Linked DNA regions of Macaca mulatta. The protein of the gene in region 6 interacts with the protein of the main gene of each other region in a pairwise test. Links are inferred from orthologs where the notes say so. Each region holds a gene or a part of one and is shown on either strand. Other genes may lie near its edges.

What was found.
Region 1: the proteins of TEX11 (region 6) and TSC22D4 interact in a two-hybrid assay, tested with the Homo sapiens proteins (2 studies listed by BioGRID and IntAct). The two-hybrid records come from large-scale screens. The link is inferred for Macaca mulatta from reciprocal best matches to the Homo sapiens genes TEX11 and TSC22D4.
Region 2: the proteins of TEX11 (region 6) and ZNF414 interact in binary tests that used the Homo sapiens proteins (3 or more experiments, as listed by UniProt). The two-hybrid records come from large-scale screens. The link is inferred for Macaca mulatta from reciprocal best matches to the Homo sapiens genes TEX11 and ZNF414.
Region 3: the proteins of TEX11 (region 6) and ING3 interact in a two-hybrid assay, tested with the Homo sapiens proteins (2 studies listed by BioGRID). The two-hybrid records come from large-scale screens. The link is inferred for Macaca mulatta from reciprocal best matches to the Homo sapiens genes TEX11 and ING3.
Region 4: the proteins of TEX11 (region 6) and DUSP21 interact in binary tests that used the Homo sapiens proteins (3 or more experiments, as listed by UniProt). The two-hybrid records come from large-scale screens. The link is inferred for Macaca mulatta from reciprocal best matches to the Homo sapiens genes TEX11 and DUSP21.
Region 5: the proteins of TEX11 (region 6) and CCDC198 interact in binary tests that used the Homo sapiens proteins (3 or more experiments, as listed by UniProt). The two-hybrid records come from large-scale screens. The link is inferred for Macaca mulatta from reciprocal best matches to the Homo sapiens genes TEX11 and CCDC198.
Region 7: the proteins of TEX11 (region 6) and SNX7 interact in binary tests that used the Homo sapiens proteins (3 or more experiments, as listed by UniProt). The two-hybrid records come from large-scale screens. The link is inferred for Macaca mulatta from reciprocal best matches to the Homo sapiens genes TEX11 and SNX7.

The regions. Positions count from the first base shown.
Region 1 is NC_133408.1:47,677,126-47,681,615, forward strand, and holds the start of TSC22D4 (TSC22 domain family protein 4), read right to left. Parts: upstream 3,112-4,490; 5' UTR 2,691-3,111; intron 2,256-2,690; exon of another isoform or gene 2,153-2,255; 5' UTR 1,987-2,152; coding exon 1,225-1,986; intron 1-1,224.
Region 2 is NC_133424.1:9,363,721-9,368,185, forward strand, and holds the start of ZNF414 (zinc finger protein 414), read right to left. Parts: upstream 3,115-4,465; 5' UTR 2,994-3,114; coding exon 2,991-2,993; intron 2,288-2,990; coding exon 1,975-2,287; intron 1,660-1,974; coding exon 1,552-1,659; intron 1,442-1,551; coding exon 1,336-1,441; intron 911-1,335; coding exon 567-910; intron 487-566; coding exon 426-486; intron 337-425; exon of another isoform or gene 1-336. UniProt on the Homo sapiens protein: May be involved in transcriptional regulation.
Region 3 is NC_133408.1:160,720,431-160,724,868, reverse strand, and holds the start of ING3 (inhibitor of growth protein 3), read right to left. Parts: upstream 2,991-4,438; 5' UTR 2,871-2,990; coding exon 2,843-2,870; intron 2,604-2,842; coding exon 2,532-2,603; intron 462-2,531; coding exon 361-461; intron 1-360. UniProt on the Homo sapiens protein: Component of the NuA4 histone acetyltransferase (HAT) complex which is involved in transcriptional activation of select genes principally by acetylation of nucleosomal histones H4 and H2A.
Region 4 is NC_133426.1:44,816,415-44,819,440, reverse strand, and holds DUSP21 (dual specificity protein phosphatase 21), read right to left. Parts: upstream 1,340-3,026; 5' UTR 1,220-1,339; coding exon 650-1,219; 3' UTR 562-649; downstream 1-561. UniProt on the Homo sapiens protein: Protein phosphatase component of the sperm flagellar doublet microtubules. May act as a regulator of sperm motility by mediating dephosphorylation of sperm doublet microtubule proteins.
Region 5 is NC_133412.1:130,593,953-130,598,240, forward strand, and holds the start of CCDC198 (factor associated with metabolism and energy), read right to left. Parts: upstream 2,858-4,288; 5' UTR 2,599-2,857; coding exon 2,376-2,598; intron 1-2,375. UniProt on the Homo sapiens protein: May be involved in tuning the metabolism, energy expenditure, and excretion processes.
Region 6 is NC_133426.1:77,171,569-77,175,421, forward strand, and holds part of TEX11 (testis-expressed protein 11), read right to left. Parts: intron 3,394-3,853; coding exon 3,242-3,393; intron 1,131-3,241; coding exon 1,045-1,130; intron 1-1,044. UniProt on the Homo sapiens protein: Regulator of crossing-over during meiosis. Involved in initiation and/or maintenance of chromosome synapsis and formation of crossovers.
Region 7 is NC_133406.1:141,583,566-141,587,906, forward strand, and holds the start of SNX7 (sorting nexin-7), read right to left. Parts: upstream 3,134-4,341; 5' UTR 3,123-3,133; coding exon 2,943-3,122; intron 1-2,942. UniProt on the Homo sapiens protein: Involved in the regulation of endocytosis and in several stages of intracellular trafficking. Together with SNX4, involved in autophagosome assembly by regulating trafficking and recycling of phospholipid scramblase ATG9A.

The DNA.
Region 1 (4,490 bases), on a different chromosome or scaffold from region 6:
CAGAGAGCAGGGAAGCTGGAGGCCAAGGGGGTTTGCTTTGGAAGAGTCTGGGGACAGGACAGGAAGAGAAACAGCATCTTCTCCCCTGGGGTGGGTGCTGAATGCAGGAGTTCAAGAAGAGTTGGGCGGGGAGGGGGTGGGGAGTGGTAGGAAGGGGCGTCACGAGAGACGTGAGCTTGAGGCCAGGAGGGGGTTGGGGGGAGCCAGTCCTGACCGGTCCTGACAGGACCCAGACATCCAGTCCCAGGTTATTTTTATACTGTGGTTTGTGCCCAAGGCCAGGAAGGGGAAAGAGTTCGCATCCTCACACCCCCTGCCTTTCCCCAGCCCTCCGAGGTGTTATATTCTCCCCGCAGGACAGAAGTATCCCACCCTTTTGTCTCTGGCTGCTCACCCCCACCACGGGGACCCAGGCATGCTGCCCCCCCAGCCCGGACTTGTTCCTCTTTTGGAGACAGGAAGGAGAAAGAGTATGGGACTGAACTCCTTCTGGGGCTTTTCTCCCCCACTCCATGGTGGTCACCCTGGAGTTATCAATCACAGAGAGGCTCAGATGGAGGGAGTTGAGACAGACAACTGGGGGGTGAAAAGGATCAACCAGCAAGCCCCCTCCCCATCCCTGAGAGGTGTTCCCCCCACCCAATTTCTCAGTGACACTTGGCCTACAGCAAAGCTGGAGGTAGGACTGAGATGGGTGGCTGGGGGAAAAGAAAGACCCCTACATTCAGGATGGGGCTGCAGTGCAGAGACTAGCAGCGCGCAAAGCCTACCTTTTACCTTTCCTCCCCAAATCCTGGCAGCTCCTCCCCCAGGGACCCAGCTACCCAGCTGAGGCCTCCACCCTCATCACCTAGAGGCAGAGGGGCTGAGACCAAGACAGAAGAAGGCCTGGTGAGGGGGCCACATATGCTATAGGCTACATGAAGACCAAGACAGAGAATCAGAGGCCAGGGAGAAAGAGAGAGGGTGCAGAAAAACAGGAAGGAGGCTGAGACAGAAAATGAAGGAGGAGGAAGGGGCTTCAGAGTGACCTGGCAGGCACAGAGAAGAGGGCTGTCTGATCTGATAGACAAGTAATGGAGGAGGAGGGGGAGGGGGAGGGGAGGGGAAGGGACGGGAAGGAGGAGGGGGAGAAGGAAGGGGAGGAGAAGGGGTGGGAGGAGGGAGTCCCAAGATAGAGGTTAGGCCAGGGCTGATGGGCGAGCCCTAGAACCCAGGTCTTACCTGCCCCATCTCCTCTGGAGCACCCAACTCCATCCGCAGCCGCATGTCTACAGCTTTCCTCCGGGACAGTGGAGGGGTCCTGGTCCCTGAGCCCCCAGCCTCCGCGTCCACCCTCAGAGAGGGCAGGGGCGTGGCAGCCCGGGATGTGCCCGCACTCTCACCGGTCCCAGGCTCTGGGGGGCGCTGCTGGGGTGGGGAGGCCGACAGTGGGGGTGTCTCTGCCTTGGCTTTGCCGGGCACCACCAGCTGGCCCAGTCCCCCAGTGAAGGAGCGGGCCTGAGGTCCGGGAGAGGTGGGGGGTGGACGGAGCCAGGAGGTGGGGCCCTGAGACAGGCCTGACTGTGGGGTGGGGGTGCCCAGGCCGAGGCTGGCCAGCTCCAACCTGGAATCCAAAGATCTGCCCCCGGCGCCCCCTGAGGCCCCTCGAATTCCCTCCAGGAGTCGGCCGAAGCTGTGGGGCTCCAGGTCTCGCTCATAAACATCCACACACGTCCAGCGACCACGGCGATATGGCTCTCCCAGGCCGTGGGGCAGCTTCACCACCCGGAAACGGGAGGAGGGGGCCCCAGGTGGTGGGGAGCCATTCCGGGGGGTGCCCTTGCCCCCCGGATCAGGGCTGGGCTCCCCACTGGGCAGGCGGGGCAGGGGCCCGGTGGGGGGCTGTGGAGTAGGCGGATCTGAAGTCCCTGGGCTCCCCGGGCCCTCATAGTCTGTGGTGACGCTGGTGATTTGGAAACTACTCTTCTTCTTGCCCCCGCTCATGGTCCCTGGGGCTCAGGGCTGGGCCAAGGTTGGGGGTGGGTTGGGACTCCTTGAAGGGGCTCAGGCACCCCTGGAACAAGGGGGCCACATGGTGGGGGCATCCGGGCCCCTGGGGACGTCTGGGTCCGACATGGCAGGAGGGCCTGGTGGGAACCCGGGGTGCCTGCTGGGTGAGGGGAGAAGAGGAGAGGGGAGGTGGCGGGAGGGGGGAGCACGGGCAGGTTTTTCCTGCTGCTGTTGCTGCTGAACTCCAGAGCTGAGTTTGCAAACTGGAAAAAGAGGGAGAGAGAGAGTGTGTGTGTGTGTCTGTGTGTGTGTGTGAAACCAGTGGGCAGGCCACCTCCGGGGCTTCCTCTCCGGGGAGCAGAGTGGGGGAAGGGGAAACCGTCAGAGACCCGGAGACAGGCAAGAGATGACAGAGACCAGGGCAGAGGGGACCAGATCCAAAAAGGCGCTCAGAGTAGGAAGAGGCAGATGAGTTCCAGAGTTGTGCATTTCTCATCTGAGATTCTGACTCAGGGGGCGGGTATTGTCCCAAGAGCTTGGACTCCAGGGCCTGGGAGAACCGGGGTGAAGCAGCTCCCCAGCCTGGCCCGGCCACTCAGAGAGACCTCTCCTGGGCCTCGAGCCCACCCCAGCTCCCACATCCCTGGGGCAGGCCCTGCCCGGCTACCCCCAGCGCCCCACCCAGCCCCGAATCCTACCTCTGGGGCCTCAGCCACTGATCTGAGCCTGAGGGTCCCGGCGCCTAAGAGGTCGGGCTGTGCGTTCCCTGGGGCCTTCTGGCCAGGGGGAGTGGCGGGGCACGCAGGCGGCGATCAGAGGTTGCCCCGTCCTCTCCGGGGGCCTCAGCTCATCCTGGGAGGCATCTCCGAGGAAAGTTTGCTCTCCGGAAAAGAAGGAACCCGCGGCTCCTCCGAGGAGCCCAGGAGCGGCCGCTGAAGCCCCAGGGGTCTGGAGACTGATGTGGGAGAGGGCGGCCGAGCCCCCCGCTGCTCCCGGTGGCAGCCAGCGAGTGGGTGTCTCGAGTCTCCTCCCGCGTGGCCCCGCTGGGTCCGTGTCTCCGCTCCTCCGCTCCCCTGGGTCTCTGCCTCTCCGTCTTTCTCCTTCTGAGCTGTTGACAACCCCCACACCAGGAAGTCCTGCCTCCTCGGGCCTGCTGACTGCTCCTCTCCTCCTCCTCCTCCTCCTCCTTCCCCTCCTCCTCCCCTTCCTCCTCCCTCCCTCCCTCCTGGGGCTTCCCGCCAGCTGGCCCGGGGCCAGGCCTGCCACAGCCGCTGCTGTTGCAGTTGCTGCAGCCACTGCTTAGGCTGCTGCTCCTGGGGGCCCCAAACAGACTCTCTTAACCCCACACCTGCCGGGCCCAGCCCCACTCTTGCAGGCAGGGGCTGCAGAGGGCGGGGCTCGGGGAGAAAGGGGAGGAGCTTGCAGGGAGGCGAGGGATTCCCTTACTTGTAGTCAGTTGCTGCCATTGGCCTAGAGACACACAGAAGAAACGGAAGGCACAGGCCGGGAGGTGTGCTGGATGCCCACCCAGAAGTGCCCAGTCCCTGCTGCGGGGCGGCTGTGGCTGTCATTCTCCTTTGGTTTTCACAGCAACTGCATGAGGAAGGTACTATTATTCCCCCCATTCCTTATTTTTAAAAGTGGATTATTGCCGGACCCCGGTGGTGGCTCATGCCTGTAATCCCCACACTTTGGGAGGTCAAGGAAGGAGGATTGCTTGAGACCAGTTTGGACAATATAATAGCAAGACCTCGTCTCTACAAAACAAACAAAAAAAATTGGCTGGGCATGGTGATGTGCACCTATAATTCCAGCTACTCAAAGGCTGAGGTGGGAGGATCCCTTGAGCCCAGGAGTTTGTGACCAGCCTGGGCAATATAGCGAGATCCCCATCTCTACAAAAAATTAAAAAATAGCACTTTGGGAGGCCGAGGCGGGCGGATCACGAGGTCAAGAGATTGAGACCATCCTGGCCAACATGGTGAAACCCCATCTCTACTAAAAATATAAAAATTAGCCAGGTGTGGTGGCATGCGCCTGTAGTCCCAGCTACTCAGGGGGCAGGAGAATCACTTGAACCCGGGAGGCGGAGGTTGCGGTGAGTAGAGATCGTGCCACTGCACTCCAGCCTGGCGATTAGAGCGAGACCGTCTTAAAAAAAAAAAAAAAAAAAAGCTGAGTGTGGTGATGTAGACCTGTAGTCCCAGCTACTCAGGAGGCTGTGAGGCAGGAGAATCTCTTGAGCCCAGGAGGTTGAGGATGCAGTGAGCCTACATTGTGCCACTGCACTCCAGCCTGGGCAACAGAATGAGACCATGTCTCACCAAAAAAAAAAAAAAAAAAAAAAAAAGTGGATTATTATGAAAATTTTCAAACGTGCCATGCAGACATGGGGAGACCATGCAAACTCCACACGGATGGTGGTCCCAACCCAAAATTAATTTTTAAAAAATCATCAACGTTATAATGAAATGACATTCAATGAAATGACATGTGGG
Region 2 (4,465 bases), on a different chromosome or scaffold from region 6:
AGTCCCGGGCTCCCCCAACCCAGAAGACCCGTGCGCTAAGGATGGAAGACGCCGGCGAGGGTGGGTGGGACCTTTTCCCACCCCCCATCAGCTTCCGGGCGCCTGGTTCAGTTTCACCTGGGTCTGTCTGCCCGCAGAGTTGGGGGCACCCAACTTAGCTTTTCCGCGTCCCCTACTACCATCCCCAGATCCACCGCCGGGGAGAAGCCCGCTCCGAGGTGAACGGTGAAAGGGGCGCAAAGTTTACACGGGAACGCCGGCGCAGATGAAGGCGCAGGTGCCAGTCATTTTTAAGGCAAAAATTCTGTATTTCGGGACGGTGGCATTTGTGGCCCCCTGGGAAAGGGATAGGCACTGTTCCCTCCTGGTATCCACCGGACCCCGCAGGGCGCAGGAAAGCCCCTCCACCCCTCCCCGGTGGTCACCTGCACGCACCTGAGGGCGCGCCGGAGCCGCCCTGGGGTCTTCGGGGGCTGCTGCCAGCACCTGCGGTAAAGGGGCGGGTCAAGTTCAGAGTCGGGGCGAGGCCAGCTCACCCTCCTGGTGACCCCCACCCCCATACTCACCTTGGCTCTTTTTCCAGACGGCGGCGCTGGAAGCCGGCGGCCCGGGTGCAGCGGCCAGGAAGGGGCACAGGCGCGGGGGGCTTAGGCCAAAGGGCGCAGGGATCAAGTAGGGCACGAACGGTCCGGTGGCGGCAGGGGCGGGGGTCGTGAAAGGTTCCAGCAGCGGGAACTGCAGTCCCGGCGCTGACGCGAGGTCAACCTCCGGGGGACGCTCGGGCGCCGGCGGCTCTCGGTCCAGGGCCGGGGGTGGTGGCGGGGCTGGGCTCTGCGCATTCTCCACGCAAACATGTAGATGCTTGAAGAGCGAGCGGTGCGTGCGGAAGCGCAGGAGGCAGTTCTCACACCTGGGGGTGGGCAGAGAGCTGGGCTGGGCCTCCAGGGAGACCAGAGAGAGGGTTCTGTGCAATGCCACCCGCCCTTCGAGCGTGGGAACCGAGCCTGGGCACCAATCGCCTCCCCGCTCCCGTACAAGCGTGGCAGCGACCCTTCCTGACCACTACAGGTGCTGGTTTCCTGGGGAAACCCGGAAAGAAGTCTCAATTTTAAGTTAGGAGGCCGGTTTTCCACTAGGGAGGTAACGCCTCGCGGGGTGGAGCCACCCCCACTTATGCCCCGCCCCATCCAGCGATGTAGGGGCGGGGCTTCCCCCAAAAGGCCACCCACATCAAATCCCGCCCTCCAACACCCTGACCAGGAAGGGAGGAAGGCCTGGAGCCCACACACAGGGTGAGGCTAGGGCAGGGCGGAGCTCAAGAGGTCAGGGTCTCACTTGAAGTAGCGATTGGGCTTGTAGTGCAGTTTGCTGTGAGCCACCAGCTCCTGCATGCTGGGGAAGGTCTCGGTGCAGCTCAGGGCTGAGCAGCGGAAGAGCTTGCCTGGTAAGGATGAAGACAGAGGAGTGGAAAGGGGTGGTCAAGGCTGGCTCCGAGGGGCTCCACCTGTTTCCCACCCTAACCTGCCTCCCCATTACCGGTCCTGGCCCTACCTTCCAGGGACTGTGTGGGCGGACAGTGGGTTCGAAGATGCTGTGCCAGGTCACGGACGCTGGGAAAACTGAGGGAGCAGCCAGGGCTGGAGCAAGGGATTTGCTTCCCTGCAGGACGCACAGAACAGGGGTCACTGGTCCCTTCCTCACTAGTGCTGTCCCTGACCCCAGGGCTCTGCCCCAGAGAAGCAAATATGATGCTGGGGCCTCTACTCTCTGCCTACCACAACAAACTGATCTGCCACAGTGCAGGGGCTGGATTGGCCACGCTCACCATTGGAGCCACAGCCTGGCATCCACTGGCAGCACAGTAAAATGATGAGTGGCATCCCTCTAGAAAGGCCCTTAGGTTAGAGATTCTCTACTTCTTGCCTCTATTGTTCCAGGGCCCGTGACTCCCCAGAAGGTCCCATCACAGATCACCTGGAGGTGGGCGTCGTCTGGGAGGCCGCAGGTCCTCGCTGGTCCCGGAGACTATGCTGGTCGGGCCAGGGCTGGGTCCGGGGCCAGGCTGGCAGCTGTCTGGGGCTGGGGAGGAGCCCTGCTGCATCCCTCCAAGCCCTCCACGTTCCCACACTGGTGGTGTGGCTGCCTGCTCAGGGCCCGGCTCCTCCGCCATGGAGGAGGAGGTGGCGGCAGATGGCACAGCCGGGGACAACAACTCCTTGTCGGTCTCACTGGAGCTGGGCTCTGCAGTGGCCGGCATGTCTGGGCTGGGTCCTGAGGGTTTCTCCTCCTGGTGGAAGGAAGAGGCAGAGATAACCCTTCTGGGCTCTGGGTCAACCCAGTCAGCCCCCATCCTAAGGAATCACCAGCAGGAGAGGATAGGGGAATACGTAAGGTTGGACTAAGCTCCTTTTTCCTTTTTATAAAGATGGGGGTTTCGCCATGTCCCCCTCGCTGGTCTTGAACCCTTGGTCTTAAGTGATCCTCCTGCCTCAGCGTCCCAAAGTGCTGGGATTAAAGGCGTCAGCCACTGCACTGGCCCAGATTGAGCTTCTTATGTACATGGGAGAAGCATCTCCTCAACTAGGATAAGTGGGAGCCCCAGTATGCGACACAAGCGTGGCCTACAGGGAGTGGGCGGGGCCAAGAATACGGAGGCGGGGCTATGGGCAGGGAGCGACTGGGAAGATGCTAGAGGAGCTACACACGGATTGTCTGAGGACCGAGAAACACTGGCCAGCTGCGAGCCGTGTGGACAATCTTGGAGGTGCTAGGAACCCGCATGTAATAAGTTTTGGGGCGGAGTCCTAGCCTGGTGGGCGTGGTCCATTCCGGGCCCGGCCCGGAAGTAGGGCGCTCTCCGAGTGACAGCCAGCGGCAGACGGGTGCCCGGATGTGGGGGCTGGGTCGGCCGGAGGATGTATGCGCGACAGGGCCGCTTCCCGCCACTCCCCGCCGCTCCGCCGCGCCCGCGACCCCGGTGCCGCGCTCACCATCTTCGACACGGCTCGGCCTCTTGTTCCTGCGGCTTCGGCGGCTCCAGCTTAGGCGGCGGCCACCCTCTGGGCAATGCGAGCTCGCGCTCACGTCAGCGCCATTTTCCGTCTCTCGGCTCTCGCGAGGTTGGAGGCGGGGCCTGCGCAAGGCGTTCGGATAGGGGGCGGGGCCTGAGGGCAGAGTGAACGTGGAGTGCAACTTGGACGCTGTTGGAGTCTTGCTATCCCAGGGTAATCAGAGCGCACTTCAGGCGACTCCGTGAACAGAGGTCCGGGTTCAAAATGGGCACCTTCATCCCCTCTAGTCTTGTCCCAACATCAGCCCTGGACAGGCGATAAACAGCAGTTCTTATTTTATTTATTTATTTATTTTTTGAGACGGAGTTTCGCTCTTGCTGCCCAGGCTGGAGTGTAATGGCACGATCTCGGCTCACTGCAACCTCCGCTTCCCGGGCTCAAGCGATTCTCCTGCCTCAGCCTCCCAAGTGGCTGGGATTACAGGCGCCCACCACCACGTCTGGCTAATATTTTGTATTTTTAGTAGAGACGGGGTTTCACCATGTTGTCCAGGCTGGTCGTGAATTCCTGACCTCAGGTGATCTGCCCGCCTCGGCCTCCCAAAGTACTGGGATTACAGGCGTGAGCCACCGCGCCCGGCCAGTTCTTCTTTATTTTTTATAGTGTTGAGACAGGGTCTTGCACTGTCGCCCAGACTGGAGCGCAGTGATGCGATCATAGCTCGCTACAGCCTTGACCTCCTGGGCTCAGCCGATCCTCCCATCTCAGCCTCCCGAGTAGCTGGGATTACTGGCGTGCGCCACCGTGCCCAGCTACTTATTACATTCTTTTTAGAGGCAGGATCTCTCTGTGTTGCCCAGGCCGGTCCTGGGCTCAAACGATCCTCCCGCCTCGGCCTCCCAAGTGTTAGGATTGCAGGCGTGAGCCACCTCGCCTCCCCTTTCACTCACATTTTAAAATGGGTAAACAGCATCGCTTGAGCCAGGGAGGTCGAGGCTGCAGTGAGCGTGATGGCACCACTGCACTCCTGCCTGGTCGAAAAAGCAAGACCCCATCTCTAAAAGTGAAATAAAAATAAATTAAAATGGGGAAATAGTATATCAACAAGTGCAAAAACAATCTTTTGTCCTATTCATTGCAATGAAGGAAACAATGAAATGTGGAAGTGATGGGTCAGGGAAGCCACTCTGAGGAGGTGACTTCGGAGCTGTCTCCAGATGATCGAGGAGTGAGCTGGTGGAAAGCCCGAGGAGCGGGGGCTTTACCGGATAGCTGGTGCAGATGTCCTGGAGTGGGGTGGGACGGGCTTATTTTGGTCAAAGAGCAGCGAGGAGATGAGAGCACCACTGGAGTAGAGTGGAGCGGGGGTATGGAGGTCAGAAAGTGAATATGGTGCACGGCAGGTCATGCAGGGCCATGGGAGTGGTGCAGAGAGAGGAGTGTGGTTTCTGTTG
Region 3 (4,438 bases), on a different chromosome or scaffold from region 6:
CTGATGTTTATTTACGCTAGTTTGTGGACAAAACTGGAATACAGTACTCCATCTCTGGAAATGACTCAACATTAATCATACACAACTAGAATAAAACAAATAGAAAAAAAATGTAACTTTTAAATGGTCTGTCACTTTCTAATAGTCACTAATTATTGAAACAATATTTTTAATTACCAAAATGCTTTAATGACTAAAAATCGCTATCTGAAGCTCTAAACCACACTAAATTATTTACATTCTAAAGAGTCATTGATAATATTCCCTTATTTTGATATCCAGATCACTATTTAATTTTGAAATATCTTTTTCAGAGGGTCCCAATATTTCTTGATAAATTATCCAAAGTGTCGCACATACTTTTTTGATGGATGCCATTTGTTCTTCTCTCCATTCAGGTTTATTTTTCTTTGCGTTCATAAAGAATTCACTGACTCTTTGTTCTAGTTGATCCATTGCATCTATGACATAATAAAAAAATCATATTAAATGACCAAATTCATATACTAAATATACATGGTTTGATTTAGGGAGGGAAAAAAATCTGACAATATATACTCTTTCACTTTGCCAGTAACTTAAATATGTTATGCTTTGATTATGTAAATATATAAAGCCTCAATTACCTTCCTTTAAAAAGTTACAATTTTCCTTATTGACAGATTATTTTTGTTTTTGTTATTTCAAAATTTTTTCCAATAGCCAAAGTAGAGTCAACAAAGTAGATCGGCTCTATCCTATAATTTTTGAGCAATACAGCCTTGGGGTCAAAAGCTATAGGTGTTAATCAGACAAATGTACCAAAACACAATGAAAACACCATTAGATAATCCTCACATTTCTTTCAACAAGAAAAAGTGATAAAAAGATTTGGTATAAGGCATTAAACATCTCATCATGTCATATCCCAACTGAAAGTAGTAGGTGCAATCATTTAAACATTAATTCTAGATAAATTTTCCCCAAATTAAGTGCTAAGACTAATCATCTCATTGGATGTCTGCTTAAAAAAAAGGAAAAATTAATAAAAAGGATTCTGTTGTTACGTAAGTTGAGAAAAATCTTTTCATAGCATACTTCTTTTGGAGATTTTCAGTCCACAATAGCCTTTTAAAGACTCTGTGAAGTACTATGGTTAATTTTCAGTATCTTCCTTTGTTTAAATAAGCATTTCTGAATTTATTTGGCACACTGTTCTGTTAATCCATAATATCTATTAACTTCAGAAAATTCGTTACTGTAAAGAAATGCACGTTTAAAAACCCTGTAATATGTATACTGTAAGCCCAAATTATGAGAATTTAAAATTTTAAACAAAATATAAAAATAAATTTAAAATAAGTTACCCTTTATTTAATGCCTACTTTGTATCAGATACTATAAATTCTAATCCATCTGTAATATTTTAAATCCTTAGATGATTCTCTTTTTACAGACAATGAAAGCCCCACACAAGTGGTAATACAGTCAGAGTCAATGAGTAAATTAGTAAAGCCCTAAAACAAACTCAGATCTATCTGACATCCATGTCTATGCTCAGTCCTGCAGAAAATACTTCAGCAAATCTTTAGCATTTCGACTACACTAAAATTAAAATGAATTTGTGAGATAGCTGGAGAACCACACACACAATTCATACTTCATACCACAATCCACTGAACAGAAGGTGGCTTCCATGCCACCACTTTTTATTATGTGCCACCTGAAACTTACTGGAAAAATATACGCATAAACAAAGGGTATAGAAGTGGGTGTGTGGTCACGGGCAGAGAAGACAGGGGCAGTGAAAAGGACAGGTTCTTAGCTGCAGCAAGTGGTCCCTAAGCCACCTATTTATAGTCCTTGCTCTACGAAAGAGTAAAGTTAATTTGGGGAAAAAGTCACAGAGACTACCAAGCTATCACTGAAAGAAAAATAAATGTTCACTAACTGCTAAAATTTTTAGTACAGCACATATGAAACTTTACAGTGAAATCTAATTTCTGTCACTCATTATAACCAAGAAAATGACGATTCTGTTACAATTTAAAATGTACCTTATAATGTGTAACTAAGTTTTCAAAATTTGACATTCGCCAGGGTCTCTAAAGAGCTATATATAACCTGTGCTTCTATGCTCTCCACTCTTGAAAAACTGAATAGGATGAACTTTAAAATAAGTATAAATGCTGAAATCTAAGTTCGATACGAAAAGGCTCAAGACAACATCTCAACATTTATTATGCTGACGTGCATTGAAACATAGATAACTATCTCAATGACGGTAGAGAAATATTTTTTGCACAATCCTACATTCTAGAAAGGAATACACCTGTCCCAATGCCGCCTCCTCTTGCAAAAGCCAGAAAAAAGTAGCATGGGAGGGAAGGAAAAGGCGAGATTCAGGGCTGCCAGTTCTTTTTGACAACTCCTTATGCACTAGCGGAGTGAGCCAGAGGACAGTGAAAGAGCATTAGGCGCTAGCAGTGATGAAAAGCAAGTCTGGCACTGAACGCGCGCAGCCAACATGAAGAGCAGACGCGCCGACTTACTCTGCACCTGCAGGTCCATCTCGCGCATTTCCGTGAAGCGGTCCCGCAGATCCATAGGAAGCTGCTCAATCACTGTCAAAGGGAGAGTCCGTCAGAGGGGCGGGGCCAACGGCGAAATACGCGCTTACGTCACTGCGCGCGTGCGTCAGGGGGGTCGAGGGGGCCGGCAGCCCACAACGAGGCTGCCAGTTACCGTGAGAGAGAAACATCCCCCGCCGCCCCCTCCCTCCCGCCATCTCGCTGCCCGTCCACTCGCGCTCTTGCCCTCCCGCAGGTCCCACCGGCGGCCGCCGCCAGCGCCGCGCACTCACTTTCCAGATAGTCTTCTAGGTACAACATCGCGGCCCTTAGAGCTGAGGGAACAAGGGGGTCCAGGGGTTTATTTGTGTCACTCGCTGTCGCCGGAGTTTTGTCCCTTCCAATATGGCGCCTCCGCTAGCAGCACCCGCTCGACTCCGGCAAAAAAAAAAAAAAGAGAAAAAAAAAAAAACCACTTTGGCGCCTGACGGCGCTTGCCTCACTGCCGCCCGGAACTGCTATTGGTTGGTTAAAGGAATGACGTAAGCCGGCCGGTGTTCGCCCCCGTGCCTTTGTGGGAAATGTAGTTTTCTTCCTGCTGAGCAAGGGTTGGCGCGCTGGCGGCTCCCCTCGTAGAAACTACCAATACCAGGCGCCATTGCAAACAGTGCGTAACAGAATCCGAAATGCGGTGCCTCTGTTTATTTGTTGATTTTTGCACAGAGAATGGCGGGAGTTGTGTGCGCCTGCATAACACAACTAGGAACAACTTTTCACCTGTTCTTTGCTGTGATTCCATGCCCCGGCGTTTGTGAGTCATGGGTTTCAAGAAGTGCCAGGCAAATAGCAAAGGTTCTAAACGCTAGGATAATCAGCAAAGTTCGGGGAATTTGGGTTACTTAAACCAGAACTCTCTGCTGGAATTTATCCTCATTATTCACTCCTAAAATATAAGAGAGACACCTGGTTGTCTTACGTGTAATTTTGAAATGGTTTATACTGAGACTGTGGAGTGAATATGCATTTCCCAGATTAAAAGATGCACAAATAGTGTCAATAGCCACTTACATATTGTAGTTTGCAGTCCGTCTAATCGTCATTCTAATGTAATTGATCTATACATACAATGTGCACCCACAAATAATAGTAATAATCATCATCATCATCATAGTGAGCAGCCATGAATTACGGATGGAGCCTTCATCTCGAATAGGCTGTAATAGCAGTAACTTTATGTTGAGTAAATAGTCCATATTCGAGGTTGGTTGTCTTGGGCGTTCTTTTTCTACTTTTCGACGTCTCCCAGCGAAGGTTTTCCTGTGATATAGTTAGTACGTCCCTACTCAGTTTCTTTTTACATTGTTTTTATTAAAAACTCTTGCATTCAATAAATACTAGGTGTTGTTTTCCTCTCTTCTTAGCTCTTCGATTTTCTGGGGAAATTGTCATTAGTTGATAATTTATTTTTCATTTTCTGTTTTTCAGATTGCAGTTGAAACTGTGTGTGTGTGTTCCCTGCTTTCCTTCTCCATTACATACTCTTACTCAAGGTTTTCACTCATCTTAAGCAGGAAACTTCCCTGTCGTGAATGATGAATCATGATGAATCTCAGCGGAACCTTACTTCGATCTGAATAAGAATTAGAATTTTTTAGTTTCTAGTTAATTTTTTCATTACTTGCATCTAAAATCAAGTACTTTCAATCTTTTTCTCCCTTCTTTTCCTCCTTTCTTCCTTTCCTCTTTCCCATCCTTCCTCCTTCTGGTTGCTTTTAAGATCTCTTTGACGTCTTTTTGCAGTTTTGCAGTGATCTAAGTCTAAATTCCTTCCTTATTCCCTTTTCTTTCCTTAAATTTTTAAAATTATGCTTAGGATTTGAGGGGATTCC
Region 4 (3,026 bases), about 32 Mb from region 6:
GTATAGCACTCAAAAAGTACAGTATTTTTAAACTTTATGGAGTGGAATGGTCTTTTAAAAAACTAGTTTTTTTTTTTTTTTAACTAATGTATAAATTCAATCTAGAAAACCAGAGATGGGCCACTGTGATTGAAGGCGGGCAAGGGTAGCCTGAGCCTCCTCCAGAGCTCCTGGAGCAAAGCTTGAATGAAAGTCACTTATCCACTAGGTTGGCACTTACCGGGAGAAGTGCAAGGGATGCCAAGATGTCTAAGGCTTTGACTTTGGTTTGGAAAGAACCAGGTGAGATTCTAGGGGATTCACTCCTGAGTTAGTCGGCCTCCGGCAGGGCTCAGAATTCCAGGCCTGCCACATGTATTGGGTGCTGCTGGCAGGTCTATGTGAGCTGAGCATCACTTGCCGCACCCTGGTTCCAGCCAGGCCCCAATAGCTTGACCTCACAAGATAAAAAACATTTTCACCATCTTACATTTCGTGAATTTAATTCTATTAAGGTAAGGCTTACTACATTCAAAACTCCAACCCCCTCCCTTTTTTTCTTGCCCCTTAACAAGGCACCAACCGGTTTTCTTTACTAACAAAATGTCAGTGTTCAAGTTCAGTCTTGGTGCCAGATCGATGGCAGATGTCAAGGGCTGGCCGGGATGGCTTACATTGATATCACTGCAAGTATGTCCTTCTCATAGATGTCAGGGATGTCACCTACCGGCGAGTTGATCATGCGCACGGTGTTGTTACTAAACAGCTTGAATTCGTAATTGATGAGCTGTTCCCAAAAGCCGTTGTTGGGCCGGATGATGGGGCGGCGCGACTTGGTCCATGCATGGGCGTCCAGCAGCGACATGGAGTGGTATTTCATGAGGTACGCAAGGCACAGTGAGGCGGAACGGCTCACTCCAGCCACGCAGTGCAGCAGCGTGCGGCCCTGCCTCATATCCACGCTGTGGATAAGATCAGCAATGGGGTCAAAAAAGTCGCAGAGACGAGAGTCACGAGCATCGGTAACAGGCACCTTTACGTACTGAATGCCCTCAAAGAACACATTGACCACTTCCACCGAGGCATTGACAATGGCGGTGATGCGATTGCTGGACAGAAGGATTTTGTTGTTGGCAGCTACACCATTGCTGAGAAACAAGCTGCTGGTTATTTGGGAGAAGCTGTAGATGGAGGGCTGTTGGAGACCCTGAGATGATGAAAAGGACGCGGATGCTGTCATCAAGGCGGCTGGTCCGAGGTCTCTCTATGCTGGTTCAGGGCACAACCCTTACCAAGCTAGTTCAGGATTGCAGCCGCGCCGCGAAGTCTCAGGCTAGGTGTTGGAGAAAGAGGACCGGCCATCGGTCACCACCCTCTTCCTGTCTCCTCCCACCACTCCCATCTGGGCGTCACAATCTCGGACAGATAGCCCTGCGGCTGTGGTTTCCATGGCAATGGCCGCTTGCCGCAAGGAGGACAAGGCCTCTAAGCAGGGTCTTCAGAGACACCCCAGTCTGTTTTATTTTTATCTTTCTTCATAGTCATTTATTTTCCAAGGCCTAATTCTTATCTTTCTTGACTTTTAAAAATGTTCTGTTACAAGATATCTATTTTATGTTTCAATTATTGGACCACATTAAACACAGTATTTACGAATACTTCTATTTCATCAGTGTTGCAGAACAGGGCTTACACTTTCCCTGCAAAATAGCAACATCACATTCTAAGTTGGGGAACAGCATTTGGCTCATGTGATACGCTAATCTCTATAAAACTGGAGCGAGATATGGGATTTGGCTGGGCTTGGTGGACTGGCCTGATATTTCTTTGTTGATTGCAACCATAAAATTTTTTTCCTGCTTACAAACACATCAGGGCTGGTTGTAAGGGAGCATTGCTAACTGATATATAACCCTTTATCTTGAAGTTGGCCTGTGGTGGACAGTTGTGACTAATTTAGCTGTGTCATAGTCCGTTTGTACATACAGCTCAAATGACTGAAACAATAGTTCAAATTATTTTGTTTACTTTCTTCAAAAAGAATGCCCACATGCTTTGTGAACTACAAATCACTTTGACCACTACCAATGCTGTCTTCCCAGTAATATTACACATTCTGGAACAAGTTAATGCTACATGGTAATTGGGCCAAAAATTGAGACAGGCTTGCTCTGTCATCCAGGCTGGAGAGGCCCAGGCCTCTGCCTCCTGAGTTCAAGTGATTCTTGTGCCTCAGCCGACCAAGCAGCTGGGATTACAAGAGTGCGCCACCACACCCGACTAATTTTTGTATTTTTAGTAGAGACAGGATTTCACCATGTTGGCCAGGCTGGTCTCAAACTCCTGACCTCAGGTGATCCTCTCACCTCGGCCTCCCAAAGTGCTGGGATTACATGCAAGAGCCACCGCACCCAGCCCAAAAATTAATTTCTAAAATGCAACCTGACATTTGCATTTCCTTCCAGCTAAGATTTTTATAGAATTTGGCTGAAAATTGAAAAGAACTATAGCCTAAAACTAACAAACTGTTTCGCAGAGCAGCCAATTGACTCACATACTTTGCTCTCATTCCATCATCATTTTGGTATGTGTTCAAAGGTGTGCTGTGATTATGAACAAAGATGAAGTAGATATCAGGCTGCTTATGATGGTCAAGGAAACGATAACCTCAAAACACAACACATATTTCTTTTTCTCGGTTGTCATAATAAAATTAATTTGCATTACTTAAATTGTCAGTCCCCACAAATCTATCTGGAAGAAAATAGAACACAAATACTAAATAAATATGAAAACTGTCTGTTGGGGACAGCTCAACCTGGCTAAGGGAGAAGCTTTGTAATCTATGTAGTAATGTGGAGGCCCTAAACTAGTATTGGTGTCTAGTTATTTCATAAGTATACACTTCTTAAACTTTAAAACTATAGAAAAATTAACAAAATAATTTCAGACACTATTTTCTTTTCTTTTTTTTTTTTTTTTGAGACAGGGTTTTGCTCTTGTTGCCCAGGCTGGAGTGCAGTGGTGCAATCTCGGCTCACCACAAC
Region 5 (4,288 bases), on a different chromosome or scaffold from region 6:
TTGTACCTTTCCAGTTATATATGTCTAACCTGTAGGTTGAATGTGGAGATGAAACACAGAAAGCAGGGAACCTACATTAGTGCAAATGACACTGTTTTAGTCTAGACTTGGGATTTAATATCTGCTCTCCTAACTTCCTACTCAGGTTCATATTTAGGGGAAGAATTACAAAATTACCAATATGTTGACTGCAAATATTTTTCAAACAGAATTTGGCCTGGAAAATAGAAATTTATTGACTTGTTTTAATTCCATAAAATCTCCTCACTGAAATATAAGACATCAGAAAAATATATAACTTTAAAAAATGAAAATAATCTTCTTAGATGAAATAGATGATAGATAGATAGATAGGTGATTATACAGAGATGAGACAGAAATGGAGTATGTGTGAACACAATTCAATAGCCCCTTTAGTGAAAAAAATTTCCACAGATTGCCACTATAATACAGCATATCAATATTCTTTCCTGATGAAACAAGCCAGGGATACAGAGTTAAGCCTCTATTAGGAAACAGAGAGGCTCAACAGATCCATTATGGATTTTATTTTCCAGCTTGATTATCCTGAGCTCTTGGGAGTGCTACCATGACCAACGCTGCATGAGTGCAGTTCTTGTCTTTCCCTTTTAATAATCTGGACACATTCTGATTTCTAGATTGTTTCACAGAGTATTTTACAGTCCCACTTTGCATTTTAAATGGAAAAATCCATGGATAATTATGCATCTTTCTCTTTAAGACATGTGAATGACCGCTTTAAGGACTTTGTTCTCTCTGACTTTTAGTGGTATGCAAACTATGTCCTTATTTTCTTTTGAAAAGATGCCAGCATATTGAGCAGGATGGAAACAACAAACATATTGGATTTAAAAATGTAAGTATTTTCAGCTATTTTTTCAGAAATCTTACTAATCCTTATTTTTTTATTTTAGTGATGTTAGTCCATTATTTAATTAGATTCTCCTCAAATGGCATAGGCTGTGTCAGGCATTTATTTTTACCCCTGATTACAAGTGAAAAAAATTGATGAAGTAACTTGCCCAAGGTCGTTCGATTTGGTATTTGATGGAGCTGCGGTGAGAATATGGGAGATCATCATGAGAATCCTCATGATCTCCTTGTTATTTATTTTCAATGTGATTTTGTCACTTCAGACATAAGCATGTTTTCCAGTTGGGACTCTAAAGCACATGAATCAGCTTTCACCATTTATTCAGTTACCTAAATCTTTTTTTTTTGAAACAGAGTCTCTCTCTATCACCAAAATCTTAAAACTCTCAATGGGGATTTGGATAAAAAGGGAATTCCTCAGTAGGAGCATTGCATACTCTTAGTGCACATTCACCCTCCATTTTTTAAATCGTGTCTTGTCACCTATTCGTCTGTCATAAAAAATTTCCTAAGGGGAAAATTCCCATCTATGTGCTTAAGAACTTGAAGACCATAAAGAACATAAAAATAGGCCATATAGAAACAACCAAAGGTTATCAATTCTGCAGACAGTAGACATGAAAAATCATTCCAGGCAAGATTTGCTAGGTACCAAAAGAGAATGTGAGGCTTTCTGAATGAGGCATCCAATAAGGGAAACTTATTTGTGTTATTGATCCAGAAGGTGAAGGAAAGGGAAAACAATATACATATGCATATATATATATAAAAAATAAACATATATTTTTCTAAGTGAAGATGTCTGTTTAATTATCATTGTGGTCATGATAAAACATTTTACATGGCTTATAAAATATTCCAGGATAATTTATAGCCACTTCAGGCTCAGAGCTTCCAATCATAGTGGGAAAGAATTCTGTTAGTTCTGCAGATGACCATGAAGAATGTGGGGTTGGGAAAAGGGTGACTCATCCACTCCAATGTACTGTAATAAATCAATTCTGTTTAGGGTGGTTTCAAAATTCATGTTAGAATTAACTCACTCTTAAAGTGCTGCTTTCAAAACCACAAAGCCCGGTGCATAAAACTATACTGGAGAGAATGATTTAAATTTAGAATTTAACTGAAATGCGATTGCTATCATTTATCACATTAGTATCTATATAATTTTAATGGTCTGTCAAAGCTAGGTATAAATATTGAAAGCATTACAAACTGAGCTGAAACAAAATGATTTATCCTTCTCATATGGAATGGTGAAAAGCCCTTTGTACAGTTTATACTCCCATTCTAATGCACCCAGAATACTTTCAATTGACATTCAATCCTCTTTGAAAGATTTGAGTTTTCAAAGATAGCCTAAATTCCTCTACATTTCAGTAATTTAGAAACTTTCTGAGATCATGGAGACAGTCAGATAAATCTATTAATAATGCTCCTTGGTCCAGATACACACATCTCATGCTGGGTTTTATGTTTACCTGCATAGTATCTTCCATACCAGTTTTCTTGTAAAGGTGGCAGCTGCCCTTCCAAGGCTTTATTCTGGTCCTGCAGTCTTGCCAGTGAATGTGAAGTCTTTTCTTCCAAATTCTGATTGAATGCAAAGTCCACAGGGCCAGCTGAGGGAGTCTCTACCTCTTTGTTTTGCAAAGGTGCTACTTTGATCACCCTCGGGTGAGTCTTAGAGTGACTCAGGCCCATTTCATGTGAAAGACATTCAGAGGAAAGCTGCGAGGAAAGTGGTTTTGGGGTCTTTAATATAGCTTGTTTTAATCAAGGCATTTCAGAAGTTTACCCTGGCTTTACAAAGCAGTCATTTCCTTCATGGCATCCTTCTAGCTCTGTTTCACTGCACACTAACCCTTTTGGCCACTTCCTGGGAGGCTGGTTTCCATGGAGACTTCCCTTCAACTTTGCCATTTCAGACCCAAAGAATCCAGTTAAACATTGACTTGGTTATGCTGCTTTCTGAAATACTCAGTGATAGGAATAGAAGCCACTATTGATCATTAAACAAATATCTAACACCAGGAAGATTATTAACACAGAGAGAGATGTAGAGCAGAGGTTTAGAGAAGTCTTGAACTTGACGCTTTCACTGCAAGCACCTTTGTAAAAAAACTAACAGCTGAGAATAGCTAAGCCATCTTTGCAACTAAGAGGATGCATGCTAATTACCAAGGCCTTGTTAATCTTTAATTTAATTGAAGAATTTATCCTCCAAGTAGGAAAGAAAGCAGCGGAGTGGCTAAAGCGTCATTTGATTTTTCTGTTGATGACTTCAGTTGCCTTTGAAGGGGATGAATACATTGCAGGACAGGAGGATAATAGAAACTTTTTTCCTGGGGATGAGGGGAAAAACTTCTTAAACATAAAAAGATAGCCTATTTACTATGTTTTTAAATTTAATTAAATTCATTTATTTATTTTTGAGACAGAGTCTCACTCTGTCACCCAAGCTGGAGTGCAGTGGTATGATCTTGGCTCACCACAACCTCTGCCTCTCCAGTTCAAGTGATTCTCCTGAGTCAGCCACCCAAGTAGCTGGGATTATGGGCACCTACTACCACCACACCCATCTAATTTTTGTATTTTTAATAGAGAAGGGGTTTCACCATGTTGGCCAAGTTGGTCTCAAACTCCTGATCTCAAGTGATCCACCTGTGTTGGCCTCCCAAAGTGTTGGGATTACATGCATGAGCCACAGTGCCCGGCCTATTATGATTTTTAAAGTAGAAAAAAGACTAGAAGGAAATATGCTGAAATATTGAGTAGTGATTTTTGAATGGTGGGATTATGGGTGATTTTTATTTTATTCTTTATACTTAGAAGTGGGACTAACTTTCAAGCTCTAATTGTTCATGACCACAGATTACTTGTGTGTTCATCACATCTCCATAGAGAAATTAAAAGAAAATGTATTTTTCATCTTTGCAGAATCCATTTCCTAAGGGACTAAGGTGGTGTTTGGAAAGTCTTGGTAGACAATCACATTTATCTAAAAAGATGCCTGAATTTAGTTTTTTCCTTATTCTCTTTGCATTTTCCACATCATTTTCTCTGCAGCAGAGAGATTTATAAGTAAAGACTAATATATTAACAGTATCTGCAAACAAAACAACTTTTGGTAAACAGACTAGTTTAATTACAAGGATAAAAATACTTGAACAAGGTCTAGTAAGATTTATTTTGGGGTACAATCAGTTTAATTATTTCTAAGGGCAGAGGAATGTATTACAAACTAACAAATGAACTAGACATTGTGCTGAAAACTGTGGACTTCATGGATCTGGACCAGTAAGAGGGATTCAGCTCTTATGTTTTGTTTTATTATTATTTAATTTTCAGACAATATTTGTGGAGAACATGAGCCTTTGTTGAGGAAATTGGT
Region 6 (3,853 bases):
ACTCAAAGCAGTAAGCTGCACAATTGTAATACTCTCTTTCTTTCTTTCTTCCTTCCTTCCTTTCTTTTTTTTTTAGATAGAGTCTTGCTCTGTCACCAGGCTGGAGTGCAGTGGCGCGATCTCAGCTCACTGCAACCTCTGCCTCCTGGGTTCAAGCGATTCCCCTGCCTCAGCTTCCCGAGTAGCTGGGATTACAGGCGCCCGCCACCACGTCCGGCTAATTTTTTGTATTTTAGTAGAGACGGGGTTTCACCATGTTAGCCAGGATGTTCTCGATCTCCTGACTTTGTGATCTCCCCGCCTCAGCCTCCCAAACTGCTGGGATTACAGGCGTAAGCCACTGTGCCCGGCCAATGCTCGCTTTATTTCTTATCTCCCAGGGACCATTCTCCTTCATTACCTGTTGTTCAGTGCCATAAAAGTCATTGTTTTTTCTTTTCGTCTATTTTGTCTTGTCCTTTGTGGAGAGGGATTTATTGTTCAAGAAGGGACATAAAACAGTCCCTGTTACTACATATTAATTGCAAGTGGAAGCAAACACAACTTTTTTTTTAATGGTAAGTCCCATTTGATTTATATACACAGGGACATAAATGTATAATACACAAAGATTAGAAGGAAATATACCAAAATTATAAATGATTGCTCTTTGCTTTAAAAAAATTATTTTTAAGTTTGCAGGAAACCTGAGTTGTCTTGTAAAGGCTTTTTTTTCCCCATTTTATTATTACACCATAACTTTTTAAAGGGAATAAAACTATTTCTCAGCCCTCATGTTTAAAAAATTACATTCCTATATGTTAATATCAGCAATGACATTTCCCTACACTGTAAGCCCTCAATGGAGAGGAATCATGTCTCATTATTTTTAATAAACTCTTGCACAATGCTCATTAACACTCTACATTGTGAATATTTAATAAATATATAGTATCTAAACAGACAGATTATTAAAGTATTTGATGCTCTTTTTATAGTGAATGCACTATTTTTTGTTGCAGTGGAGAAATAATATAAAGAATGAAAAGGAGATTATTCTCAAACCTCAAAACTACTGGTAGCTTTTCTCCACAGAATGTTGTGTAACCAGTTCATTAATTCTGCTGTCAGTTGTCTTCCTGTTTGGTGAGCTGAAAATAAAAAAGAAAGCTCTGAAAACAAGAATCTAGGTCTATTACATTAAGTAAAGAGTGCTAACTATACTCAGAACCTATAATCTTTAAGTAATGGCTACACAAAAAAAAATTCAGACAGGTTTTCACCATCAGTTTTAGGATTACTACCATAATTGATAATATAATGCAATCAGAGTTTGCTAGAATCACAGTCACTCTCCCATCAATCTGTGATAGTTTTCCAGCCTACTCTCTTTTTAACTTATTTTCCACATTCCAAATTAGATTATCATCTGGTGCCTTAATAAGGTTATTGTGAATGAGCAGACAGCAATGCCAGAAATCATTAATAAGAAGTGCTTATATTATTATGTACTAAATAGATCAGATCAAGTTCACAAGAAAGGCCAATTATGCCTTAAAGCCTTTGTAAAATACTTTAAGACCATGCTTACACATAAACTTTATTACTTTAAATCTTAACTTGCGTTGATTGTTTCTGGTCTAGACATTTACAGAGTTCAAATACATTAGCACATTAAGGTAAAGTCTAAACTATAATAGAATTCTGTACCTCCTCTTCTGCCCTTTGGCATAAACTATCAATTTCCACAAAAGTCTTGACTAGAACATTAAGAATCTCTGACCCTCTAGCCCAATCAGCAAATGTAGTTTGTTCCATGACTTACTTAAAAACACTCGCATGAGAGTAAACAGCTACTAAATGTGTCTACTTGAAATATTATAATACTTTGAGAGTGTAAGTGTAAATTAGATGTCACAATAAAACTTAGTCCAAGTGGAATTTTAGGAAAATGAGTTATTCTCTACAATCAAGTTTTCTGGTTAACTGGCAGTTTACTTTCTTTAAATAAAAATCACTTCTGAATTTAAAAAGTCTAAATATTTTCATGAAAGTTCTTAAATTTTCTAAAAAGTAAACAAACTTCCTAGTTTTCTTAAGCACAATGTAACTTTTTCTTGACCATTTGAGGTCAACATTAACAACTATTTTATTGTATTGTACTATTAATATATCACAGCGATGCCTTTGGGAGTTGTTATACAGTACAGATTGCTATATTAAAAAATTTGTATCTGTTTTATAAAATTGATAGAGTTTTTTTCCTCCCTATGGTCAGGCTAGCTGTATACTTCCCTTTAAACCTTTTCTCTATTTGCAAAGTGCTACCATTAAAATGCTAAGAGTAGGAAAACTGGATAACCAAGTTTATCAAAACTGGGTCTAAAAATAATTGGTAAATGCCTGGAGGGAGGGTGTTATCAGTAAAATATGGTTCTTAGAGATCATCTAGTCAGATGACTTCCTTTAAAAAATTAATGACTTTGTTTTTATAGAAACATGATTCGTGCTTATAAAAATTCAAACAATATGGTAGAGTATTTAGAAGAAAGCAACACATCACCTAAAATGCCACCATTCAGAATAAACCCCAGAGTTAACATTTAGTGACTATCAATCCAATTATATCTCTACATGCACTTAGTTGGAAAGACAAGGTGGTGAAGATAATTTTCTAAGAAAGGGATCATACTATCTATGTTCTTCAGGGTACAGAAGTTCTGCAGGGAGGCAGAGGATTAGGGGAATGCTGAGCAGATTTGGCTCTACATCTCTGCTTTAACCAGAAAAACTCTAATCTATTCCATTCAGGGTGGGGTTCATACAAGACTGCATCACAAAAGGATGCTGCTGCTGAAAAGAAATTAGAAACCAGGAGTTTAGTTCACAATCATCATTTTATAGTTGAAAATAATCAAGGTCCAGAGAAATTGACTTGTTCAAAGGTACACAGCTAAATTGAGATCAAACTAGAGATATGAAATTAGGCTTGTAACATTACAATATTCCACCATATGTGAGCTTTAAGCTCAGAAGTTTGTTTGTTTTCAATGTTTTCTTATTTTCGCTTAGTTTCTCATTCCACTTGCCCAATTTGTGGGATGTGGACAGGTGAGGTGTTACTGTTAAAAGACCATTAGGGAGGAAGGAAAAAAGAAAGTGGAAGAAATCCGTTGACTTGAGGATTTTGCTACTACTCTGACCTCTAAGAATTATACACAAATTAATACCTTTCTAAAACACTTGCGAAAATCCTACTGACCTAAAATGATTTCTTCAATCTTCTCCTTGGCAAGCAGTTCTTCCTTCCTTTGTAAAAGCATGTCAATATAGAGTAGCAGAACTTTTCCAGTATTTTCTGATGACTTAAAACGTTCATGAATAATCGTCAGGAAATGAAACCCAACAGATTCTCTGTACAAAGAGACACAATTTTAAGCAATGTGAACAGAAAAACTGGTTATTGATCAATGGGACTAAAATGTATTTCAGTGTGAACAAAATAAGCCAGATAAAAGCATATCTGAATTCAGGTAATGTTATTAAATGTCTAAATAAGCTTAATTTGTCAATATTACATGATTTAATTTAATTTCAGTTTATTAAGCCATAAACATTTTCTATTAACACCTATAGTCAGATAATCATTTCTCTCCTAATATCTAATTTATGTTTTTCCCAGAACTGATTGTAAGCTTTAAAAATTGGTTACTGAGATCCAGTGAAGTTACATGAAATGACATGAGAAATTTACTAGTTCCTCTGCCAAAACGTCTTTCTAAAAACTTGTTTGTGTTTGATTACACAAATAATACAAATATCTTCTATTTAAAAATGTAAACAGTTCATGGGTTGGGAGACTAAATATTGTTAA
Region 7 (4,341 bases), on a different chromosome or scaffold from region 6:
ACATCTATACTTGCTCTTTTAAATCAATGTCCTCTGCATTCTCTTGAGGTTGGCATCATTTTCTGCTCACTGGATTATATGAAAATTCAGAACAACTCTGTTTTACTTTCCATCCCTCTTGATTTGTATTGCCATTTAGAGTTTCTGTCCCATCTTCCCACCTGAACTGTAAAATTGTGATAGCAAGAACTAAATCTTGTATTTCTTTTTTTAATCATACTTAACACAAAAATATGTATTTGTCATGTACTTGTAATATGTTGTGGAAAAAAAAAAAGAAATAATACGAAGTTTTTTGTTTTTCTTTTGAGACCAAGTCTCATTCCATCACTCAGGAGGGAATACAGTGGTGTGATCTCAGCCCACTGCAACCTCTGCTTCCCAGGTTCAAGTGATTCTCCTGCCTCAGCTTCCCGGGTTGCTGGGATTAAAGGCTCCCACCACCACACCCAGCTAATTTTTATATTTTTAGTAGAGATGGGGTTTCACCATGTTGGCCAGGCTGGTTGCGAACTCCTGACTTCAAGTGATCTGTCCGCCTCAGCCCCCCAAAGTGCTGGGAAAATTCATACTCTTTAAAAAGCTTCTGGAAGAGGGCACCAGGCACATATTCATAAATAATCTAAGGGAATAAGGAGACTAAAAAGGTGAATGTAAATTGAATATGCAGGTTGCCAACCTCAAAGTACTAAAGGGGAGGACAGTCTGCTTCGTAAGTAATTGTGAGATTCCATCCTAGGGTAGGCTGAACAGCAGTGGTGTTTGCTTTATAGAAGAGCAGGCAAGGAAGGGAGTAGTGGAAAGGGAAGGCCACGTGGAGCAGCCTTTCTTAAATTTGCTTGCTTAACTACAGATAACGGTTGAGAAATTCAACTTACTGAAATGGATAAAAGTGGCTAAGTTTAAACTTTTCCAACTATTCTTTTTGGATTTTCACTAATATTATTATCTTTGCCTTAATCTATGTGGGCAGTTTCTACAGACGTTGTTCTTAACTTTTTCCAAGCATCCAAGACGCGCAGTTAACACGAAAAAGCAGGGTGGACCCAGGTGTACGGGCTCATAGAGTTTGGAAGGTCCACTTTTAAAAGAATACAAAATTAGGTGGAAAAACAAATTATTCAGATGAGAAAAGAAATCTCAATAAATGATTGGAGCCATGGAGATCTACATTCCTTAGTCTGAGAGAGCTTTAGGCAATTCACCAGAAATGCTTATTTAGAAATGCTTCTGGTTGGGACCTGTCATTTCCTTCCCACCTAGAACATCTGCAACTCCAGTAACCCCCAACACGCCCAGAGGTCTAAGCAAACGAATAGCGCTGAAGCTTCAATTTCATTAGCTTCACCTTAGATCTGCCTCTGACGAGAGGACCTCATTTAAACATCGATTCTTAAGAGCCAGCTAGGACACTTAGAATCTGGGGAAAGAGAAACCGCTTGACAGGTTTAAAACAATCCCAGGCACTTTGGCTCAAGTCTGTAATCCCAAACCCTTTGGGAGCTGAAGGTGGTAGAACCCCTTGAGGCCAGAAGTTTGAGTCCAGCCTGGACAAAAAAAAAAAGAAAAACAGAAAGAAACCCCGATTTTTCTGATACAATATTGCCATTTCCAAGATCCCATCCATTCCATTTTGAAAGTTGCACAATGCATCACCATAGACTAATATTTCTTGTCTAAACAGCAATGTAAAGAAGAAAAGAAAGTAAATCACTAACTGGCCAATTGTTGTTGATCTGAACATAAAGTATGTGTGGAATATAAAAAGGCAGCGTTTACCTTTTACAACTAAATATAAAATAATTCCATTGTTTTACTATTTAATAGAAAAGTCAAGAGCACAAAACTGTGATAGTCTGTTTAAATATTCGGAATACAAACCTGGGCCTATCATTCCATGTAACCCGAAGTAGAAATAAGTTTTACATACTCCTTTTTGGAGTCAGAGTATGCATGTTCACTTCCTAACTTGGATTTGCTCTCCCAGAGTAAATGCGGTGGTTAAGAGGTCGTTTGCTTTACCTAACATCTCCAGGTAACATTAAAATGAACAGGCTTCTTAGTAATTAATACAGCGTTGTGATCTGAACTCAGGTCTTCTCTCAGCAGCAACTTGAGAAACTGGAGCGACATTCAACCTCCCTGCAAGAAAGGTATTTTTCTTTTCTAAAACCCTTTAAGAAATTACAGCCACCAGTCTACACGTACCAAAAGTCTACCACTAGCCCACACAAGTCAATTTCCCTCCAACTGTAAAATAAGGAAAGAAGAGCCTTTGGTCCTAAATTTCCCGGGGGCAAGGAAAAACGAAAGCGCCGGCTGTGGGTTGGGTGGCAGTAGCTGACCATCTGAAAAATTCTTAGCTCCTCAGCGGAGGAGCTTCCTGTTAGAAACAACCGTTTTCTCCTGTTCAGGGAGATTTCCTCGAACCTATTCCCACAGGACCTGAGACTTACCTCGGGTGTCACCCAAGTCTCAAATCCACAACCAACAACACTAAATTAAGAATAATTTCTCTAAACTCGGCTAATCTCTCTCCCAGAGTTCAGGGCTGGCCTCGCCCGAAAAGCAGCTGGCGGGGGCGGTTTCGAGCCACTAGCCTCCCAGGTTCGGGAGCTGCCGCGAGGAGATGTCTGTGTCAGAGAAGCAGAAAGGGAAAACAAATCACAACTTTGCAGACTCCACGAAGCCACAGCCCCGCCACACGGAAGGTCAAAGTACGGAGGAGGGAGCGGCTGCGGTTTGAGGCCCCGAGGCGACGCGGCCCCGGCTGCGGCCAGAGCTGGCAGGCGGGATCCAGCAGCCCGGGGGACCTCACCCGTCCCCAGCTCAGAGCCGCCGCCCCGGGAGGGCGAGCGCGCCAGAGGCAGCCGTCGGCGCAATGCTGGCAACTCCCGGAGTTGCCTTGGAAGTTTCCCGGGACTCGCCGCCGCCGCCCTCACCTTGCTGAACACCTCCAGGTCGTCCTCGTCCTCGTCCAGATCCAGCACCTCCGCCTGCAACAGCGCGGAAGAGCCGCTGCTGCCCGGGAAGGGGGCGCTGCCCCCCGGGCTCTCCCCGTCGGCGCCCCCGGCCGGGAGGCCCGAGGAGCGCGCCTGAGATGCCCGGCGCTCGCCCTCCATCCCGAGAGTGCGCGCCCGGCTGGCCGCCACCGCCGCCGCCAGCCCGGCTCCCCCGAGCGTGCCCATTGGCTCCCGCGTCTCCTGCGCCTCCCCGGCCGGCCCCGCTCCAGCCCCTCGCCCGCTGCGCAGACGCGGAACTGCCGGGACCAGCGTCGGCCCGGGCCGGGCGCATCCCCACCTGGCTTGAGGCGGGCTGGAGGGGCGGGACTGGAACTCTCGGACTCCGGCTAGGGTGGAGAAAGAGTTGGCTGTCCCCTGGAGAAGAGGAGAGGCTCAAAGGTAGGAGGTGGGCGTCCTCGCATTGACCCAGTCGGGGGCCACCGAGTGACCGTTTCCGCGGTGGCGGGGTCGGGGAAGAAGCCACGGAGCGAACCGTCCACTTCGCGGGATCCACAGAGAGGCTGGAAGGCACCCGACCCAGCCTGCCAAGAGAGAAAAAACAGCAATAACAATACTGTATTTCCTCTATTCAGTGGTTGCCTTTCTTCTTGGTTGTGATTTTCGCGCTAATGTAAAAATAAAGACATGAAAACTTCCCCTGTTTCGTTAATTGATTTTTGACCCAGTGACTTGCCTGTGCGGTCATTTCACTGTCGAGCCAGGAAAGCTGAGCTTTACAAACTATTTTCAGCCACTTTCAAATGCATCTTTACTCCTGGATGTCTTCCTGAAGTTAATGAGCAGAATGTTACCAAGACCCAAGGACAACTAGCAAGTCTGGAAAATTGCCACCGAAAAATAATCTTCAGTCCTTGCACTGCCAAGGCAAAGCTTTAATTATTTAACTGCTTATTATTCAAAAACAAAACTAAGTTCCAAAAACAATGGAAAATTGAGCCCACGTTAATATATTTTTAAATTTATCTTCAGGTTTCATTATTTACTTCCGTCAGCCCCACCTCTTTTCTGTAGGCCCATTTAAAAATGTTTAAATACATTGAGCTCTATGTAAGAATTCCTTATTTGGGAAAATAGAGAATATCTTTATTTCTGATTAGAGGCAAAGCCTTAATAATGTATTTTCTCCTATCATTCAAATGTATTCCCGTTGATTTCAAACATGCACCCACCCTTCAGTCAGGTTGGTCACTGCCCCATGAATATCCAAATTTGTTCCTGTGCTTGATGATTTCTGTACTTTAAATGCCATCTCCTGCCCATCCTTCAGAAATTAAATATATTCCCATCTCTTTCAGAAAGACTTTCTAAATGACTGTTC